Caenorhabditis elegans: one gene and its partners. The protein of the gene in region 2 binds, or shares a complex with, the protein of the main gene of each other region. Each region holds a gene or a part of one and is shown on either strand. Other genes may lie near its edges. The genes, in order: sur-2, mdt-4, rgr-1 and mdt-31.

Region 1 (5,107 bases), on a different chromosome or scaffold from region 2:
CCCTGAACATAACATCATTTTTAAAAACTGCAAAAATTCATATTTGGAGCCATTTTACCGACCTCAAAAGTTGTGAAAAAATGTATTGAAAAATTTGAAAAGCTGCATCAATTTTTTGTAGTTTTTCTGGATTGCAGACTCTCTTTTTTAGAATTTTCCAACAAAAAAGACTACTACTGACATCTTTCTCCAAAATCATCCAAGTACCAGCTGCAGCAAGAAACCTTGCAAACAACGCGGGATGATCCGATGCACCCATCCAAACAACATCTCCATCAAACAGCTCATTGTACAGCTCAACAATTTCAGTCACCGCATCATCGAGTCGTGTTAAATTAGACAGAGAGCCGACAACTTGAAAAACGATCCACATAACTTCGTCGCGAGCCCGTGTGTACTTGCATCGTTTTATCAAATTTTTGAGAACATTGAAGAATGTTTTTGGGACTCTGAAAATGCTATTTTTCGGTTTTTTCTAAGGTCTCAATATCGAAAACATTAGCTTTTAGGGAACAAAAACTCAAAATTTCGATAGATTTTAGACTTAAAAAATAATTTTTCCAGATTTTCGAGAATATCTATTATCCAAAACTTCTCTTTTTGGATTTTTTAAAAGAAAAAGTTACAAGAAAAATTAAAGATTTTGGTTTTCAATTTTTCTAAATGTCGGAAATCTAAAGTTTTGTTTTTTGGTAAATTTTTTTTTAAAAACATTTCAAGAAAATCTTAAGTTTCGGTATTTTTTTTCGAAATTTTATTTAAGAAGTGAAAAATTGGATTTTTCTGGAATTTTCTAAGAATAATTGAAAAAAAGAAATATTTTGGTTTTTCGATTTTTTTTTGAAGGTCTAAAAGTCAAGAACATTCAGATTTTTGAAGAATTTTCAAAAGATTTTGTTTAAATTATAGCTTTTATCCTAAGAATTTTGATTTTGGATTTTTTTTTCCTTCAGAAATAAACCAAAAATTGAAACGCTTAGTTTTTAAATTAAATTATTAGCTCTACTTTCAAATTTCTGGCTTTTCAAGACAATTTTGAAATTCAAAACTTGTGTTTTTCAAATAGAATCTTTTTTTTTTCGATTTTCTCTTTGAAAAACCCAAAAATTTAGCTTTCCTGAATGTCGGAAATCGAAATGTTCGGATTTTTTAGAATTTTACTTTAAAAGTAAAAAATTGGATTTTTTTTCTGAATTTGCGAAAAATAATTGAAAAAAGGAATATTTTTGTTTTTCGGGTTTCGCAAAATCGAAAAATTTGAAATACACTAACAATAAATGTTGTGTAATCCCATAAATAACAATATTAACAATATTGTCCCATTGATATCGTGGAATTGGCTCAGTTTCCGGTAGAGATTCTGCTTCGGCCATTGATTCACATATCATTACAGATATCAACATTTCCCAATTTGTCTTTGTCTTCGTTTTGCTCGGAGGATGAAGCTGAAACTTAATTCGGGATAAGTTATTTAAAATATATATATTCTCAATTTCATACCGAGTCCTTTCCCAATGGCTGACGAAGAATCATGTAGAGGGTGTACAAGTATGTAGAAGTATGTTCAGGACGATATGGAAGTGTATGATGAGGTTGAACAATTGTATTACTGGCATTTAATCCATGTTCTTCCCAACACGATGTTAATGGATAGAATGATGGATGTAGTGGAATGGGGTAAACGAATCCACGGCCACACACGTGGGATAGGTCGGCAATTGGTCGGAAATGGACGGATAAGCTTGCCAGTTTCTCCGTTAGTCTCTGTAATATTTGGCATTTTAATTTAATCTTAAGAAATATAGGCTTGGTAAATGAATCGAGATGGGTCGATCCGTGACTCATCTCGAGCCGCTTTTTGCAAAAAAAATCCACAATTGCCGGAATTGAAATTTCCGGCAAATCAGCAGATTGCCGGAAAATCAGCAAATTGCCGAAATTTTTCGGCAAATTGTGGTTTTGTACATTCAGATAATTTTTCGTCGATGAAGGTGATTTTTCAGTCAATCAGCATACAAATCAGGGGTGTGTGGCAAACGATTTTTTCGGCAAATCGGCAAAGTGCCGGAATTGAAATTTCCGGCAAATCGTGAAACCGGCAAATTTCCGAATTTACCGGAAAAATACCAATTGTCGAAAATTTTTGGCAAATTGTGGTTTCGCACTAATTTTTTGGGAATTTCAGAATTGTACGCATCCTGTGAGTGTTTGAATGTTTTTTTCTACATCTTTTTTGAAAAGTAAGCAAATTCTATAAAAATATCTGAGGAAAAGGGAAAAACAGCCCAAAAAGTCACAGTTTTAAGTGTTTCAGTCTTATGAAAAAATCCCTCAAAACATTTGCGGAAAATTTAACATCCGGTAAACGGCAAATCGGTAAACCAGCAAATTGCCCGATTTGCCGAACGGTAATTGCCGCCCACCCTTGGTAAAAACTTCAAATAAAATGTTGAGAAACTGAAAATTTAGAAATCAGAAGAAATTTCCCGTCATTTTTTTATGGCTTAAATTAAGTTTTTTAAAACTTCTGTAGTATTCAATTTGGTTTACTTTCTGTAACTCAAAAACTAAATGCACAGAAATTAGAAACTTTGCGAGAATGGTCGAACTTTTTTTTGGTTTCCGCCAAAAAAAAATTCGACTTTTTGAATGTAGAGAGATCTTTTTTTTGTGTTTTTTTTGCCGAAAAAAAAAATTAACAAATCTAAATTTTTACATTGTCTTTATATTTTCAGCAATTTTTTTTAAAATTTTCCCCTCACCGGCAGCATAAGCGCCTGTTTCGGCATTCCTCTCATAATTTCTGATAATGTGATGAGTGGAGGCATCAAATTGGAGTCTCTATCCACAATATGCAGTATTACATTCTCAACAATGCGGATTTCGTTTACTTGCTCCGGAGATAGTGAATACGGTAGGCGACGGAGCTGTGATTCCAGAATATATCGGAGGATATTCCGAATTCCTTTGTAATCGATTTTTGGAATGCAATCATTGATGAATTTCCATTTTTCTTGGCATATTCTACTGCATAATCGGAAGTCCGAAGTCATTATGAGTCCTTCTGCGCACAGATTCGTTGAAATCGCACCTTTTTGATGAGCATATCGGAGAAGCTGATCTACGACACGTTCGTAGTTTGTTCTGGAATAAAACACTGTTAAAACCTCTGATTATATGCAAAAGAACTGTTAAAATTGTTTTTTTTTCGAATTTTTAAATTCTCACCCAACAAAAACTCGATCAGGAGAGTTCTTTTCCGCCACGTGATGAACCATTTTTATTAGCTCTTTCACTAAAGATTGTTTTTCTTTTTCTTCCATTTTACTCATCATATTATTGAATTGAATCCGTAAAATCGCCGTCTCGTCGCCAATATTCGACGTAAGAGGTCGAAAAAATTTTCTTGTGTGGTTTTCTTCCTAGAATATATTTTTATGAGTTATGTTTAATTTTTTAAGCGTTATTTTTGATTTAAAAAACTCACAACGAGACTTTTAATTTGACTCTTTATTCGATTGACTTCCTGAACAAATTGCGGAGAGCACGTGTCATCCATTTCAATTGTATCTTCTGCGGAACCAGGTTTATCCGTCATTTTGTTGCCTGAAAATGTAATAATTTTCAAAAGAAAAATGTTAAAATAATAAATTGAAACAAAATAGGTTGATAAAAATTAAAAACGCATTGTTTGAGAAAGATATTACTGCGCCTCTTCTCTCTCACGCGTGACAATAGAGCGCGCTTGGTGTGTGGTCTCTTCGTTCACGCATATTCTGCGGATTTGAACTCTACCAGAGTTCTGCGAAAAAACTACTACATATATAATACATTTCACACATTTAAATATCTTGACTTTTATTGTAGGTAAACTGACATTTGGACTGATTTGCCAAATTTCTGTTGAAAATCAGTTTCAAGAAGCTGAAATCTAGATTAATTTATTTTTTTCATATCTTCATAAAAAGTACAGTTTATTCTCATTTACATTCCTTTAAATGGCGTGTTAAAATAATGAATTAATGTTCGATTTGCACTACAAGATTTCCTTTCGCTCCCTTGTTGTTCATAATTTCCTCATGAGCCAGTCCTAATTGCTCGAGACGATACAATTTGTTTATAAGTGGACGAAACTCGGTTTCCTTCAAGAATGAGACAATGTTGATGCCAAAGTCCAAGAGCTCAGCCTCGGAAGACATTCCCAATGCTACACCGTAAACAGCTCCTTCTGTAACCATAAGTTGTCTTGCGTTGATCGTGGTCTCGGCGCGATTTCCAATTACTGCAACTCTACCACGTGGAGCCAGCAATCCGAGGTCCGTGTTCAGATTTGTGTGAGCAGCCATTTCGAAAATGTGGTTGAAGCCTCCTGGATAATCATTTTTCATTTTCGACACATATTGCTTATCCGAATGATTATAGACATTCCGTGCACCAAGACTCTTCACGAACCGGATCCCATCAGCAGATCCAGCAGTGCCAACAGCTTCAATGTTCCTCCAGGCAGCCAGCTGCATCAGTGCACTTCCCACTCCACCAGATGCTCCGTGTACAAGTATAACGTCGCCAGTCTGAGAAGAGAATTAGTTTTGGGAGGGAACAGCAGATGGTCGTATTTTAGACCGCCCCTTGTTTGAGATGGAACAGATGGTCAAGTTGGCTTTGTAAAGATTGATTTGTATTGATTTTGCCTCCTAATTTTGATACGTTTTTGCCAAAATTTTAATATTCTCTATGAACCATTTAATAATAAATAAAAGTCAAACCTTTGCACCAGCAAGATGAAACAATGCACGATAAGCGGTAAGATAAGGCACTCCGAGAGAAGCTCCTTCCTCAAACGAAACTCCTGAAATGAGATTTTAGCTATATCTTAGGTCTCGCCACGCGGGCAACTAGCTACAGTAACCCGTTGCGCAATGATTCTTTTACCTTCCGGCAACTCGAATGGTCGATTCACCGCAACATACTCTGCTGTACTGTCCGCTTCTGATCCATACCAGACTCGATCGCCGACTTTCACATTTTTAACGCTTTCTCCCACAAGTTCGACGAATCCGGCTCCATCTTTTCCTGGTACATATGGAAGATTTGGTAGTTTTCCATA
Region 2 (4,783 bases):
AGAAACATTAGAAGCTGTAGAAGATGCAGTGGACATTCTTGAAAAAGAGGTAGCGTACACACATCCTCGAAAAGTGGCCGAGAAACAAAACATTTTAATTTCAGATGCTCTCCTTCTGCAACCTGATTCCAGTTAACTCTTGGGGATTTGATGATGATGTCAAAGAATCATTGAAGATGCGAAAACACAGTTTGGTTAATCGACAACTCAGCAAAAGTAATTTATTGATAAATTTCTTTAAAATTCTGTATGTTTTTCAGAGGAAAGAAAGTCAATGTCTGCACAACAGAAACAACATCTGGCGAAAGGCTTAGGATTGGTTCCAAACACTGTTCAAGAAGTCCTCGAGTGGATGTCTAAAAGCAAGCAGCATTCGAAAGTGCAACCACAAAAGGTTGTTGCACCGGTGAAGAGACCAGCGGATCAGAACAAGAATAAAGAAAAAGTAGTGAAGAAAGACCAGAAAAAGCAAGATAAGAAAGCTGATTCTGATTCAGAAGAGGATGATTCATCTGACGACGAGGAGAAAGAAGAAACAGACGAGCCAGTTGCTAAGAAGCAAAAGAAAGAAGAATCTTCAGATGATGATGAAGACAGTGAAGATGGAGAAGAGCCTGAAGGAAATAATGGAGCTGTAGAGGCTGAGGACAGCGATTCAACGGACGAAGAAGAAGAAACACCATCTAAACCCAACAAAACCGTAGCACAATCTACTCTGAAATCGAATGGAAAAATTGACAAGGAGATTCAAAAGTTGGAAGACGATGAAGACAATGAATCCCCCGAAATCAGACGTCAAATCGCTTTGCTGAGACTGCAGAAAAAGCTGAAGGAAATGAAAGTTGAGCGGAAAGGAAAAGGACCGGCGAAGGTAACATCAGCGATGGCTGAAAAAATGGCAGAGGAGAAGCGTTTGAAAAGACGGGAGAGCAAGCTGAAGCTGAAACAAAGAAGAGCAGAGGAGAAGAAAGGAAAAGAGGCAGCAGCTCAAGTGAAGAAAGAGACTGTTGAAAGCACAGAAAATGGCAATGAGCCTGTCGAGAAGCAGAAATCTGGAATTTCATTCAATAATCTCAAGTTTGAAATCAAAGAAGACAAGCAGAGGGGCAAGAAACAAAGAGTGAGTAAAAATATTTTTATCTGAAATATCTGAAATTTTCAGACCGCCAAAAAAGATCGAGCTCTTAAACTTACCGGACGTGACTATAAATCACTTATCGCTAAAGTCGAAGAGACAAAAGCAACAATTGCCAAAGTTCGCGAAGCTGATCCACATAAGGCTACCATCATGGAAGATGAGCTAAAGTGGGAGAAAACACTGAAAAGAGCAGCTGGTGGAAAAGTGAAAGATAATTTGGGAATGCTCAAGAAGGCTTTGGTGAAGAAGAATAAGATGAAGGATAGAAGAAAGCAGAAATGGGAGAACCGAGAGAATAAGACGGAGGGAGAGAAGCAAACGGTATGTTGATTGGTAGAAAATCCTTTAAGATTTGAATTTTTATTTTTCAGAAGCAAGACAAGAGAAAGAAGAATCTCCAGAAGCGCATCGATGACGTCAAGAAGAGAAAGATGAACAAGTTGAGAAACAAGGGAAGAATCCTCTAAACAACACACATTTATCCGCTTTTAATTTCTCGTTGTTGAACATTTTTTTGTTAATTTTTACTGTTAACTTTTTTCTTTAAATCTGTGGCCTGTTGTTAAGTTTTTAAGTTTTCAAATTATACTAAATTCTTTGAAAAATATTCTCTTTTTTTTTGAAACTTGTGCCGTTGTTTCGGTAATTAATTATTTTAAAAGTTGTTAATGTATGTTCGATGGTTGTATTGTTCTAGATCTCAAATGGCAGAAACAGATGAACGAAGTCTACGGGATTTGCTCCTGGAATCTGCAGATGATTTGGAGCATATTGTTAAAATGGTACGTTCTAAAAAAATTTGAAACAATATTATAGTTTATTTTAAAATTACTTTTTACTGTGAGTTCATCTTATAGAATTCATGAACCCACATAATCAATTATTGTTTCAGATCGTCGATACACTCATCAATCGGGACAAAAGTGTTATGCTGAAAAATGGAGAAACCGTTACGAACATTATCAAGCTGTTTGACTCAAAACAGGATAGCATAAAGACTTTGCTGAAGAGGGTTCCTGAGTTTCAAGAACGAGAGCAGCTCATTCGGACGCTTGAAGCCCACGTGGAGAAACGAGACGAAGTTATTCAACAACTTGAAACGAATTTGAAGTCATGTGAGGTGGCTCTGACGCGATCTTGTTTTCATGTAAATTTTGTTGGAAACAAAGACTTTTTTCGAAATACGTTTATTTCAGGCAAACCAGAAGCTCAAGCAAATGAAAGAAGCTGAATTGAGACCAGTCAATAGTGAGATGCTCATCAAACTGGCTCATCAGATCAGTAAGCACAACTCCGTATCTGCACCACTCACTTGGCAAATGGGAGATCCATCGCGTCCGTTTCCTCAGGAACACGAATTTCGAGCTGGTCACCTATTGAATTCAAAAGTTCAGAGCACTGGACCTCAGCTTTTACCCGGAAAGAACGTCGCTCAGAGGCCGCTTATTACGGTATGTTTATGGAAACTTGTTGAAATGTGAATCCTCACCTGAAATATTTGATAAATGCATTTATAAATGCATTTATATAAATGCAATACTTCTAATGTTTTCTACGTTAATCTGAAATTCTTTTCACACTGTAACCGAACAGCTGTGAATCACGTGATTTATGTCTTATCTTCTTACATTATCTAACAGTCATTCCTTCTAATGATCAAATTATGAGTGATAAGAAATATTCAGTTCATATTGTGATCTCTTTCCTTCTACGTTATTCGTAGTAAATTTTATAAATAAAATTAAGATTCAACGTTCAATCAATATTATTTCAGTCTCCATCCGCATCCTCATCCAACGGTGGAACAGCTCCAATTCGAACTGTCGGCACTCCTCTTATTAATTCTGCTCCGACTGGAGATTTCAGTCCACGAACTGGTTTTGGCACCGACGAGCCTCCACCGATTCAACAGCAAGTACTCCGTGGAGCCACTCCAAATGAAAAGCAATGGCAGAATCCGGGAGTTTCAGGAGCCACCTCAACGCAATCCCCTTACAACCGTGTCTCGCAGGTCAGTGCAAACCGAGTGTACATAGACAGTGTTACTGGCGGCCCGCAAATGATGCACGGGTGGCGCAGTGGTAACGCGTTTGCCCGTTGTTCAGCTGTCCACCAGTTCGATTCTCAATGCACACAGAAAGTCGAGATTGCCGGCTTCAAAGGCTTTATCGTTGATTACGTGTGCTATAACAACGCCATAGGTATCATTCTTCGTCTTCTTAGGCGCGGAACATCTAAATATGGCTACATTTATCTGCTATTTTATAATTTTCCAATAAATAACATATTTTCAGAGTCCTTCTTCCTCGCCAAACGTGAAGCTGAAAATTACTGGACTTCCGAATCGTCCAGGAGGTATCGATCAAGTTCAAGATGTGCGGGATGTCGAACAAATGTCGTCGGACAGCTCCAACTCGTCAGATAGTTCAGATGATGAAGGCGCATCGAAAAAGACTGGCAGTAGCAATAAATAATGAAAGATCTCTGTAAATTCTGGTATTTTACTTATTGTACGTTGATAAATAAACACAATTTTCTATATATCTTGTGTTTAACAGTGACACTAACTGATTGCATGTGGTTCAGTGTCCACGCCATGTTTACCGCTATGCCAGCTGCCTTTCTTTCTTTCTTTATGTCCTCTAATCTATTTACTCCTTGAACTTTTTTTTCAACAATTCTAGTAACTAATTATATTTAGAAATATGCCAAATTTTGGAATATACCTAAGTTAGCTTTTGATTCAAATCTTATTTTAAAAAAACACTCACCCCATCTAGAGACGCAGAAACGAAAGGGACCACCCATGACAAGAGAGATGCGGAGTACGTGAAAAGATGCACAAAACATGTTGCAGTGAAAGTGTTGTTAGCCATCACTTTTTTTTGTTTTTGTGGGCTCAAATCAGTTTGAAGAAAAGTTGAAGTTGTAAAATTTCGCCTCCTTTCGTTTTTTATGTCATTTTATATTACTTGCCCTTTGGTAATAGATAAGAAATTATCTCTCCCATCAGACACATTCCCACACATCTTCTTTTGACTTGCCTCCACACAACTAATCTAGATATAGATGGGCGGTCCTGATTCTTGAATACAATACATGTGGAATGTTTTGTTTCGGAAGGATTCTTCAAGATTTCATTTGAATTTTCTTAATTGAATTAATACTTTCTATCTTATTATACTCTTAAATTTGCGATTTTTCGGCAAAAAATACTGCATCTGGTCTCGACAAAGCTTTCTTTAATTTGTTGTTAAATACAAACGGATGTGCACCTTTAAAGAGTACTGTACTTTCAAACTTTTGTTGCTATATAATTTTCATCGATTTTCCGATAGTTTTCGATAGAATAAAGCATAAATTTCACCAAAATCAACACGACAGTTTGAACACACCTTTCTTATTTAGAAAAAATGAAACAATTGTCGTGGCGAGATCAGGCATCGTACTTTTGACGCAAAACATTGCGTCTAGATAATAATTTCCATGTTTTCAGATATGGTAACTGAAATGAGCCATGCAGAATCCATCAAACGAGTTGTCGACCAAAAACTCTCCTCACACGAAGGATTTGAATCCCATATGTTCAAGGTAATTCCAAAATCATTTAAATCATCAAGTTCGTCCTTCAGATTGGATCTTACA
Region 3 (5,252 bases), on a different chromosome or scaffold from region 2:
ACATGCAGAAAAAAATATGTATGCATAAGTGGTTCATGCAAATGTTTTCGGAAGTAATAATCAAGAGTTTCGATTTTTCGATTTTTTTTAAATCTATAATTTTGGTTTTTCGAGATTTCGTTGTTAGGATAATTCGCTCATTTTTCTGATTTTTTTTGTAGAAAATTACATGTTTTCATATGTTTTTTCTCATCAAAATAAACTAAATAAATTTTTTTAAAAACATGTTAGTTTCCTGAAAGATTAAAAAAAAATTATCCGTAAAAATAGTCAAGAAACCAAAATTTTGCGGGAAAAAAACTTGAAAATTAGTATAAAAAATAGATTAACTCGAAAGTACGTAAATTATCCAAATCGAGTATTAAGATATGTATAATTTTAATAAATTAAAAAGCGTAAATTCTATTTTCTGGGAAATTTTCTTGGAAAAACCACTTGAATTGAATTTTTTCTTTAAAATGTTTTCCTGTTTCCGAATGAAAATTTCGGAAAACTTGATTCAAAATTTTGCAAGAATCGGGAATTATTGCAAAAAAAATCAAGAAATCGATATTCTCAGTGAGGAAACATAAATGGTTAGACAAGAAGCATGCAAAAGCAACATATCATGCACAATCCGAAGCAATAAAACTAACCTTACTGGTGCGATCTTTCTGAAATCAAAAACTAATATTTAAATGTGTCATCACAGGAAATTCTATTTTCTAAAAGCTAGGATAGATACCAAAACCGAAAAAGTAGAATAAATATATTTTTAAAAAAAACTGCATTCTCATCTGTTCTAATATTCTAAGAACGACAACAATACGACACCGATCATAATTCGGGCGGCACGGCAATCTTTTCTGAGAATTTAAGTTAAAATTAAATAAGAAATGACGTACCGGTTCACCATCCCGACGATGTGGGAGACCATGCGGTACGTCTCGAACCAATGGAATATTTTCAAAGCACATTTCGAATTGGAATGTGTAGCGATTTCGATTATCGAGACGAAGGCAGCATCTGATACAACATTCAAAGAATTCGCTTGCCTCGAATGGAACAACATTTTTCACACTGAAAATTACAAGATTTTTAAAAATTGTTTCGGACGAAATAAAATTTGTCTGAAAAAGTCAATTTTTTCAATTTTCTCAATTTGTTTTCAAATCATGAATACTGGCAGTATTACATTTTAAGACTGGCGGAAAATGTTTAAAGATGAAGTATTTAGCGAGATTGGGGATTTTGTTTCAAAAATTCAAAATAATGTCAAATTCAGAAAAATAAAACCACAAAAGAAAAAAGAAAAACAAATTGTGAAAGAATAAAAAATCAAACTCTCAAAACTTGGATGAAATTCAAACCGAGAATTCAGTCAATATTGAAAAATTTCTGAAGCGATTTTTTCGTTTGTCTTTTGTGATATTTCTGAACTTGAGACTATTTCGAACCTTAGAATTTTTTCTTGACGCTGCTGCTCAATTTTTAATATAAGTGCTCGAAATCTAGAAAAAAACTTACTCCGTGATATGTAGAGCAAGCCCTCCTGGAACGTGTGCTGAATCTTTTCTCACATCAACTCCAATTCCCTTTTTCATTAATTCAGCCGCCAGATACATGTACGTGATCCGATCTTCTACAGTAGCCACTGCAAATGCAAGTCTCTGCTCTCTCGAACACTCTTCTTGAAGTGATGTTTTATGAGATGGCGAGAAACGCATCGTTCCTTGATTAATCGCTTCTTTTACATGCATTCCATTCATCTCATCATCCTCCAACTGAATGAACTGAGCTCGGTCTCCAACAACTTCCAAAAGTTGAATGTGAGTCTTAACAACTGCTTTTTCATCGGGAGAGAATGTGACAAGCAGATAATAGTCTTCAGATCGAAGGAACTGAAGAATAATTCGTTGGGCAGGAGCATCACCAAGACATTCCTTTGCAAATGGAAGAAGCTCAGCTTCTTGAACTTCACGAACTGGAAGAGCTTTCACTGATCGTCGATATCGTTCTATCACGAGGGCGACACGAAGTTTTCTAAGATACATTTGAATTGTGTGCGCTGAACATTGACTACTGTAGAGAGCTTTTCCAAAAGCCAGGACATCTTCGTGTTCAGCACCTGAAATATGAATAAGTTTATTTCTTTTATAATTTTGGTAAAAAATAGAGTATTTTTTTAAAATTAATATGCTGGAATTTGAAACGACACAACTCACTGAGAATGTGAACGTTGCAGAGCACTTTTCCACAGAATGAATTCACAGATACCGTCATCATTTCATCCTTTGAAGAGGTATCCGGTAGGAGAGCAAGAGAAAGTGACGGTGCAGAGATTCCAGTCATCTTCACTTCTAATCTTGGTTCAGCAGCTTCAAGGATTCTTCTCAACCGCATCAATCGTTCCTTACATCTGACCACATATGTTTCTGATAATAGTCGATCAATTGACAACATTCCAGCTCCAGAATCAAGTCGTCCGAGCTGAGGAGCATGAGGGAAATGACGAACTTTAAGTCCACCTAGCTTGTCATTTGGATCTTCATAGATCTGAACTCTGTATTGTGCATCACATTTGACTTGTCCTACAGTTAATCTTCGACTCTTCGATCTTTTAACCCAGTATCCAACTACCAAAACTCGTTCTTTTGGGTCATACTTTTCGATTGTAATGTTATCACGTAACCTTCCAGCTGCCAATCTTGAAGTTTGACAAAACAAAACATCCAATTGTAGTGAAACACAGAAACTGTGCAAAAAGGAGAAAGCTTCTTTAATAGGATTTAAGGAAACATTCATCCGAGATTGCAGTACTCCATGAAGCTGATTAAGCTGTAATGGATGTACAAGAGGAAGTCCCATTCCAAGTTCGTAGTCTTCCACGAGAATTTTGATATTCAATAGAGTCCACTTTGTCATTTCTGTTTCACCGAGCAATGTAATCTTGATTTCAAACTCTCCAGGAACCAGTAAAGTTGCAAGTCCATTGTTGATGTGAATTTCTTTTATATTTGGTGGGATTCCGCTTGAAAGTCGAGAAAGCCGACTTTCAATGAGCTGATTTAATCGGGAAGTGACGAGTTTCTGTTCTCTCGGTGTGATCTTTGCTGGAGGAATGAAAGCTTCTTTGATTTTCGATGGCATTCGATTATACGTTCCTAATACAAGAACATCAATAGCTGGCGCAATATGGTATTCTGGAAGACGAGCTAATTCGAGATCTCCCCTAGTCATTGCGACTAATCGATCGGCCGTGTCGATGAAATATTGTGATTGGAGATCGAGAAGGTAGTCGATAGACTGGAAAATTAATGTTTTTTTTTCGATCGAAATCGAGCGAATTAAGCTTACATAACAAACATCCATTCGCTTCGAAATCCGTATCCATTTTACTAATGCTACAAGTTTCAAAAATTGACTGCGAGTAGCGTGTGCAAAATGTACAAGAGACATTTTCCGCTCCTGCTCTCCTTGATCATTTGTCTTCCGCTGCATCAATTCCGCAAGAACTGTGATCTCGTGGTAAACATGTTGAATTGCAAAGTCTAATAGAACATTTAGAGGTATCGTCGGAGGGCCACAATTTGCAGGAACTTCTGGTAAGGGATTTTGCGCTGGTTCTGGAAATTATAGAAAATAAATATCTTCCTTGTTCTACTGCAGCATACCATCTTCGCTATCCGATGAATGAATCGATTTTACATCGACTTCGGAGAGATGTGCCGTTTGTTCCTGAGAAGAATGTACATCGCGGTCTGAAATTCCAGACGACTCATCGAGTGACAAGGCCGAGCCAGATGGAGCCGGTGATATTGGAGCAGCCGGCGAATTATCCGCCAGTGCGGCTCGGAGTTGGGAAGACAGTTTCTGCGAAATACATATTTATTTGAAGAATACACAATATACGGTCTGGGAAGCGACACATTTACAAATTTAAAGTTTATTTACATGTTTCGAATAGTTTTAATCAAACTATAACATTCAAATTGTACAAATATGCATAAAATTAAACAATAAACAGTATTTAATTTATTTTTGAAAATTTGTTTGCAAACTCCACTGAGTGTGCAAATGCGCGTGATGGTGTACTTGCGTACATCGGCAACACATTTGACGACATATCAGAAAGCGGCGCTAAATTAGAAGTTGAGAGCGCGCGAAAAAACAACGCGTTAACCGCCAAGTTTCACTTCCCCACAGAGATTCTCGAGTCATTGTTCAAGTTTATTTGTTTTTCAGCGGTTGTTTTATTGAAAAATTGTAAAATTTTAAACAAAATGTGTAATAGTCTATTAAACCTCGTGAGATATTTGAAGAAACTTTCCCCGTTTTAAATATTTCGTGTATTCGTGCAGATCCGCGTGAAATTTTTGTCTGTTTGCGTAAAATTCCTCTATTTTTTTATTTTTGCTCGCAATTTTCGATTTATTTCAGAAGTTTCCACATTCGCAAAACGAATGGACGTCTCTTATTATGATGGCCCTAAGGATGAAGTCATCGAAGCAATGCTGAAAAGCGCGGTGACGGCCATGAAATTGGGACAATACGAGGATGGAAAAGGACGCTTAGAGGACACAATGGAGTTCGGAACCTCCAATTTTCAACTGCTTGGTACAATCTACATGTATTACGGAAGAGTGTGCAGGCATTTGAACCACGACGCCAAGGCCTTGGAGTTTTTCGAACATGAGTTGAACATGTTCAAGTAAGTGAATTAAACGGAAATGGGCTGGGCATTCTATAACTTTAATTTTTCAGATTGATCTTCAACTACCCAGAAGCATGTGATTCCACACGTCGCATCGTCCAGCAGGCACTCAAAATGGAAAAGTTCTCCAAGGCTCGACGGTTTGCTGAGGATCTCATTGATTACACCAGCAATAAGAAGAACGGAGAGAAGTATATCGGTCAAGCTCGAATTTTGTTCGCTTCCGTGTGCCTCGAAGGATGTGAAAGAGACGTCGAGAGTAATCAAGATGAGAAGAAGAAGCTTTTGTCAATATGTGCTGAACAGATTGCAGCCGTGAAATTGTTCAACGAGAATAATACGGAAGGAGCTGTGTCTGAGACCAAAATTATGCTAATTGAGGCGAAATGCTTGTCACTCGACGAAAAATACGAGGAATCGCGTCGCAAGTATCAAGAATGCATCGATTTTGCCATCAAAACAGACCAGTTTGAAGCAGTTCACATCGCCTATTACGACAAGGCTCTCTATGCTGAGACATATCTTCTTTTCTTTATTATCAGAGATCTCAGGTAATTTT
Region 4 (3,749 bases), on a different chromosome or scaffold from region 2:
CTCATCTTATATTGATCTTCACGATGAAAACAATTTTCGTACATCGTCTTCGCTTTCGACAGCCTCAACAACATCCTCATTCCAGCGACGTATTCTTCCTGGAGCCAAATTCTTTGTGCATGTCGTTTGGGGTGAAGAAACCATGCGAACCAGACTTCGATTGTTAATTTGAATACAGATGAAATGGTATTACATTTGAAATTATTTAGGCTAGAAGTTCGCACAGGACAGCATCAACTAATCGATGGTCATGACTTCACATCTTTCCAATTTTCCGATGAAGAAGTTCTTCGTGCTGTTCCAGTTGGATTCCCCGCTATCAAGCCCGAGGACCGTGATCTGTTCGCTGCTTCTTATCGTAGTTTCTTCATCAATTTTTTCACTTCTACAACTGAATTCCGTGCTGCTACAAGCCGGAAGAAGAAAGAGATATGCAGCAACGACGACTCTACTCTACTCGAGACAACAGCTTTCCGTAATCAGACATTTGTCAACGACGTTACAATTGTTCCCAATACAAGATTTTCGAATAGAAAGTAAAATCTTAACCTAACTTTCCAAATATTCTCTGATTTCTGTCCAGGCTTCGAAAAAATTCACGGTTCTGTAAAATGTAGGTTTCAATTTCAATAAAGTGGTGATGAAGTTTTATTTGATTTACATTTTTTATGTTTATTTTTCTTTCTTTGAAACGGTAGAAGTTGTGGAATTCTTTTCGGCTGTGTCAGCATCCGGTTTCTTCATCGTTTCCTCATCATCTTCATCCTCTGTGTCCTTTTGTCGAATATCAGCTTCATCTTCAGATTCTTCAAGCTCTTGTCCCTCATCAGGCATCATACACAAACGATGCCGTTTCCGAAGATAAAACTGCCATTGGAGAACCACTTGATCTTCTACGAATTTCGCGCTTGGTCCTGAAAATAAGTTACTATTCTTCTGATAGATTAAATAAAATTTGAACTACCGTAAGCCATCGAATCGCGAAATTGCTGACTCTGCAGTGCTTCAAGCATGTGCAGACATTGAGGAAATTTCAAGCATCTGGCATATTGAGGATCTTTCCAATAGAGAAGATATTTGAGATAGTTGACAAAATATTCTTCTTTGAAATAACCACGTTGCGCGAGAACTGGAAAATATGAAATTTGCAGGAAAAAGAGTGCATAAAAAAACAAGAAACTTAGAATAAAAATACGTTTTTCTCTATTCTCGGCTAGTGTATGTGAATAAACTCACAATTAAGATAATTTGGATTTGCAAGAGCCTGCACGAATTCACATTCAACTTCAAATCTCGTCTTTTCACTTTCTACACTCTCCATCTGCATTGTATTGTAGCCTGAAGAAAAAAAAATGGAATTCAAGCTTCGAAAAATTACAGAAATTTACAAAATTTTGATATTATGACCTTTTTTCACCTATACGGTGAAATCCGTACTACGAAATGAGTTAAATATATTATTCCAATGGAAACATACCGTATCGATTGAAACTAAAACGACCCATGCCTATAAAACCATTTTATTAGAAAAAGAAAAACAAATTTAACAGATGGTGTTCATAAAGAGCTGAGATTGTTAATAAAACAAAAGTGAAATAATCTTAGGAGATCAACTTTTAATGGGTTCAGTTTAAAAAAGTGATGTAAAACTGCACAGGAGAGGATGACATAGAGTTGGGTAAAATAGTTATATTGTTCAATAATAGAATATTCAATCTAACTCCACTTTGAGCGAAATATTACTCTCCGTATCGATCGAGACGTGACTTGGAGTGGGTGTACCTGCAGATGAACGCGGTGGACGAGCAGGACGCGCTGCAACTGTCGCAACGGTCTGAAAAATATACTGTTTCATTGAGGACTATGAGAAAAATATAGATAATAGTACCGCAAGGATTACTAGGGGTAAAAGTTTAATTTTAGTGTCACATCTCACCTCTCCAATCTTCCTTTTCATTCTGATTTTCTTCGCAGAATTCTTGTCCAGATTAGCCAACAACTCGGTGGTATCGATTTTCATGCCGTTCTGAAAAAAAACAACGTCTAGCAGTGGAGACAACGCAAAAAACTTTACATTTAGTTCTCTAGAGATTGAAGTTGGAGTAACATAGATCTCGTCATCAGGCATCCGGCGTCGTCTTATTTGGTCACAGGTAACTTGTTGTTCTTCATCGCAGGCGCGTTCCTCTGCAAGACAGCGCACAAGCCGCTTGGTTTCATCAGACGACGATTCACGAGCAATTCCAAGACGCATTGGTTCGAGAAGAATCGAACGCATTCGAGCCTGAAAAATTATCAAAAATAAAAATAAGAATATAATATATTCACTTACATAAAAATTCGCATACTCTTTACTATTGGTGACCTCATCAGACAACCCGATATGCATACGTCTGTCTCCGTCGAGGCCCTCTCTCTCGTCGTTTTTGAAGTTGAATTGTTGAGCCAGAGAGACATCAAGAGGGTAAAAGTGTTCAGCAGAAAGACGATTCAATCCAGAACGGGCTTTTTGAAGCATTTTGTGAAGATCGAATGATGCAGCAGTCGGAGGAAGAGTTGACTTGGCTGGGCAATGTACATCATTTTGATTGCATGACTTTGAGTTAACATGTAAATACCATTCAGCGACTTCTTTTGACTTGTTTATGACCATCTGTGAGAATTTTAATGTGAATTTTCATTAAACTTTATTTTCTCTATTCTGACTCACATTCTCCACAAATCTTTTAGCGTATTTCGGCGCTGTGAAGCGATGTTCATTCCAAAACTTAGTGCCCCATTCTTTTACGTCGTGAGCACGAATTACAGAGCACAACGACTCCACAATGACCATTTGCTTTTCATCTTCAGCATCATTTGGATCAAATGTTGGCATTGTTTCTGGATCCAAATCGATCTTAATCGGACGAACACGACATCCGATTTGATCCACGTTCTGAACATTTTTCAATGGGTTAATATTCTGTACAATTAATTTACCTTTCTAAACTGTCGAGCCTCGTAGTAACGCGTCAAAGTCTTGCTTCTTTCTATCATGTAACGAACATCACTGAAAAACAAAATGTAATTAAAATATGGTGTTTTTTTTTTGGTTTTCAACTAACACTTCCGTGATTGTGAGCGATGAGAGAATTTCACTGGAGTGTAGTTCTTTGTCGATTTCGGCTGCATTTTTGTGCTTTTGAACAATTTCGTTGATTTTATCTTGGATTTTTTGATAATCCGGCTTATTCTTCAGAGCTCGAATTCTAGCGGCGGCCTGCAATAATAATAATAATAATAGTAATAATAAAAATATGAGTTTTAAAAAATTTATTTTTGATCTTACTGGTCTCTCCAAGGCAGATACACGTTTGTAAAATTCTTCGGGAGTCTCATTCATATCCGGATTTTCGTTGGCGAATTTCTCATAAACTTCTTTCATGAGTTCATTTGGAATCTGCTCCGCTTCCACAATATCTTCTTGCTCCAGCTCGTCCTCTTCAGGAGCACGTCTTCCGGATTTCATGGCATCGACCGCGTTGCAGAATCCGGCAGCCAACTGAAATTTTTATTAATCATTGCTTTTATTTAAGTGAATTTTTAAAAAGATTTTTCACAATAAAACCAAAAAACTCACTCTCAACTTGGCTGCAATTAACTGCAAATATCGTCTTCTCAACTGTCTCGATGTCTTTTTTGGCAAGAGCATCTGACATTTAGCCCAATTTCCTTTTCCAAATACTTTTACCGCATACAAAAGTTGTTCG

What was found.
Region 1: mdt-4 (region 2) and sur-2 share a complex: the UniProt entries of both Caenorhabditis elegans proteins name them as parts of the mediator complex.
Region 3: mdt-4 (region 2) and rgr-1 share a complex: the UniProt entries of both Caenorhabditis elegans proteins name them as parts of the mediator complex.
Region 4: mdt-4 (region 2) and mdt-31 share a complex: the UniProt entries of both Caenorhabditis elegans proteins name them as parts of the mediator complex.

Annotation. Positions count from the first base shown.
Region 1 is NC_003279.8:14,784,199-14,789,305, forward strand, and holds the start of sur-2 (Mediator of RNA polymerase II transcription subunit 23), read right to left. Parts: upstream 3,606-5,107; 5' UTR 3,599-3,605; coding exon 3,488-3,598; intron 3,423-3,487; coding exon 3,229-3,422; intron 3,145-3,228; coding exon 2,763-3,144; intron 1,765-2,762; coding exon 1,501-1,764; intron 1,446-1,500; coding exon 1,273-1,445; intron 450-1,272; coding exon 182-449; intron 1-181. Other genes in the region: F39B2.3 (15-oxoprostaglandin 13-reductase), read right to left, coding at 4,020-4,571, 4,767-4,849, 4,933-5,107. UniProt on the Caenorhabditis elegans protein: Component of the Mediator complex, a coactivator involved in regulated gene transcription of nearly all RNA polymerase II-dependent genes.
Region 2 is NC_003280.10:4,941,002-4,945,784, reverse strand, and holds mdt-4 (Mediator of RNA polymerase II transcription subunit 4), read left to right. Parts: upstream 1-1,835; 5' UTR 1,836-1,842; coding exon 1,843-1,920; intron 1,921-2,030; coding exon 2,031-2,285; intron 2,286-2,334; coding exon 2,335-2,589; intron 2,590-2,912; coding exon 2,913-3,149; intron 3,150-3,265; exon of another isoform or gene 3,266-3,432; coding exon 3,433-3,612; coding exon of another isoform or gene 3,613-3,622; 3' UTR 3,623-3,678; downstream 3,679-4,783. Other genes in the region: SURF6 homolog gldi-11, read left to right, coding at 1-49, 105-216, 261-1,120, 1,163-1,459, 1,510-1,605; ZK546.19 (uncharacterized protein), read right to left, coding at 3,467-3,622, 3,910-4,014; cblc-1 (MMACHC-like protein), read left to right, coding at 4,637-4,729, 4,771-4,783. UniProt on the Caenorhabditis elegans protein: Component of the Mediator complex, a coactivator involved in the regulated transcription of nearly all RNA polymerase II-dependent genes.
Region 3 is NC_003281.10:9,392,332-9,397,583, reverse strand, and holds the start of rgr-1 (Mediator of RNA polymerase II transcription subunit 14), read right to left. Parts: upstream 3,481-5,252; coding exon 3,337-3,480; intron 3,286-3,336; coding exon 2,205-3,285; intron 2,108-2,204; coding exon 1,507-2,107; intron 1,060-1,506; coding exon 885-1,059; intron 654-884; coding exon 636-653; intron 1-635. Other genes in the region: gpr-2 (G-protein regulator 2), read left to right, coding at 4,443-4,690, 4,744-5,244. UniProt on the Caenorhabditis elegans protein: Component of the Mediator complex, a coactivator involved in the regulated transcription of nearly all RNA polymerase II-dependent genes.
Region 4 is NC_003279.8:8,963,886-8,967,634, reverse strand, and holds mdt-31 (Mediator of RNA polymerase II transcription subunit 31), read right to left. Parts: upstream 1,522-3,749; 5' UTR 1,506-1,521; coding exon 1,478-1,505; intron 1,339-1,477; coding exon 1,237-1,338; intron 1,130-1,236; coding exon 965-1,129; intron 915-964; coding exon 673-914; 3' UTR 634-672; downstream 1-633. Other genes in the region: spd-2 (Spindle-defective protein 2), read left to right, coding at 1-162, 210-540; snpc-4 (snRNA-activating protein complex subunit 4 homolog), read right to left, coding at 1,712-1,834, 1,889-2,026, 2,075-2,284, 2,333-2,653, 2,711-2,935, 2,980-3,049, 3,105-3,259, 3,329-3,541 and 1 more. UniProt on the Caenorhabditis elegans protein: Component of the Mediator complex, a coactivator involved in the regulated transcription of nearly all RNA polymerase II-dependent genes.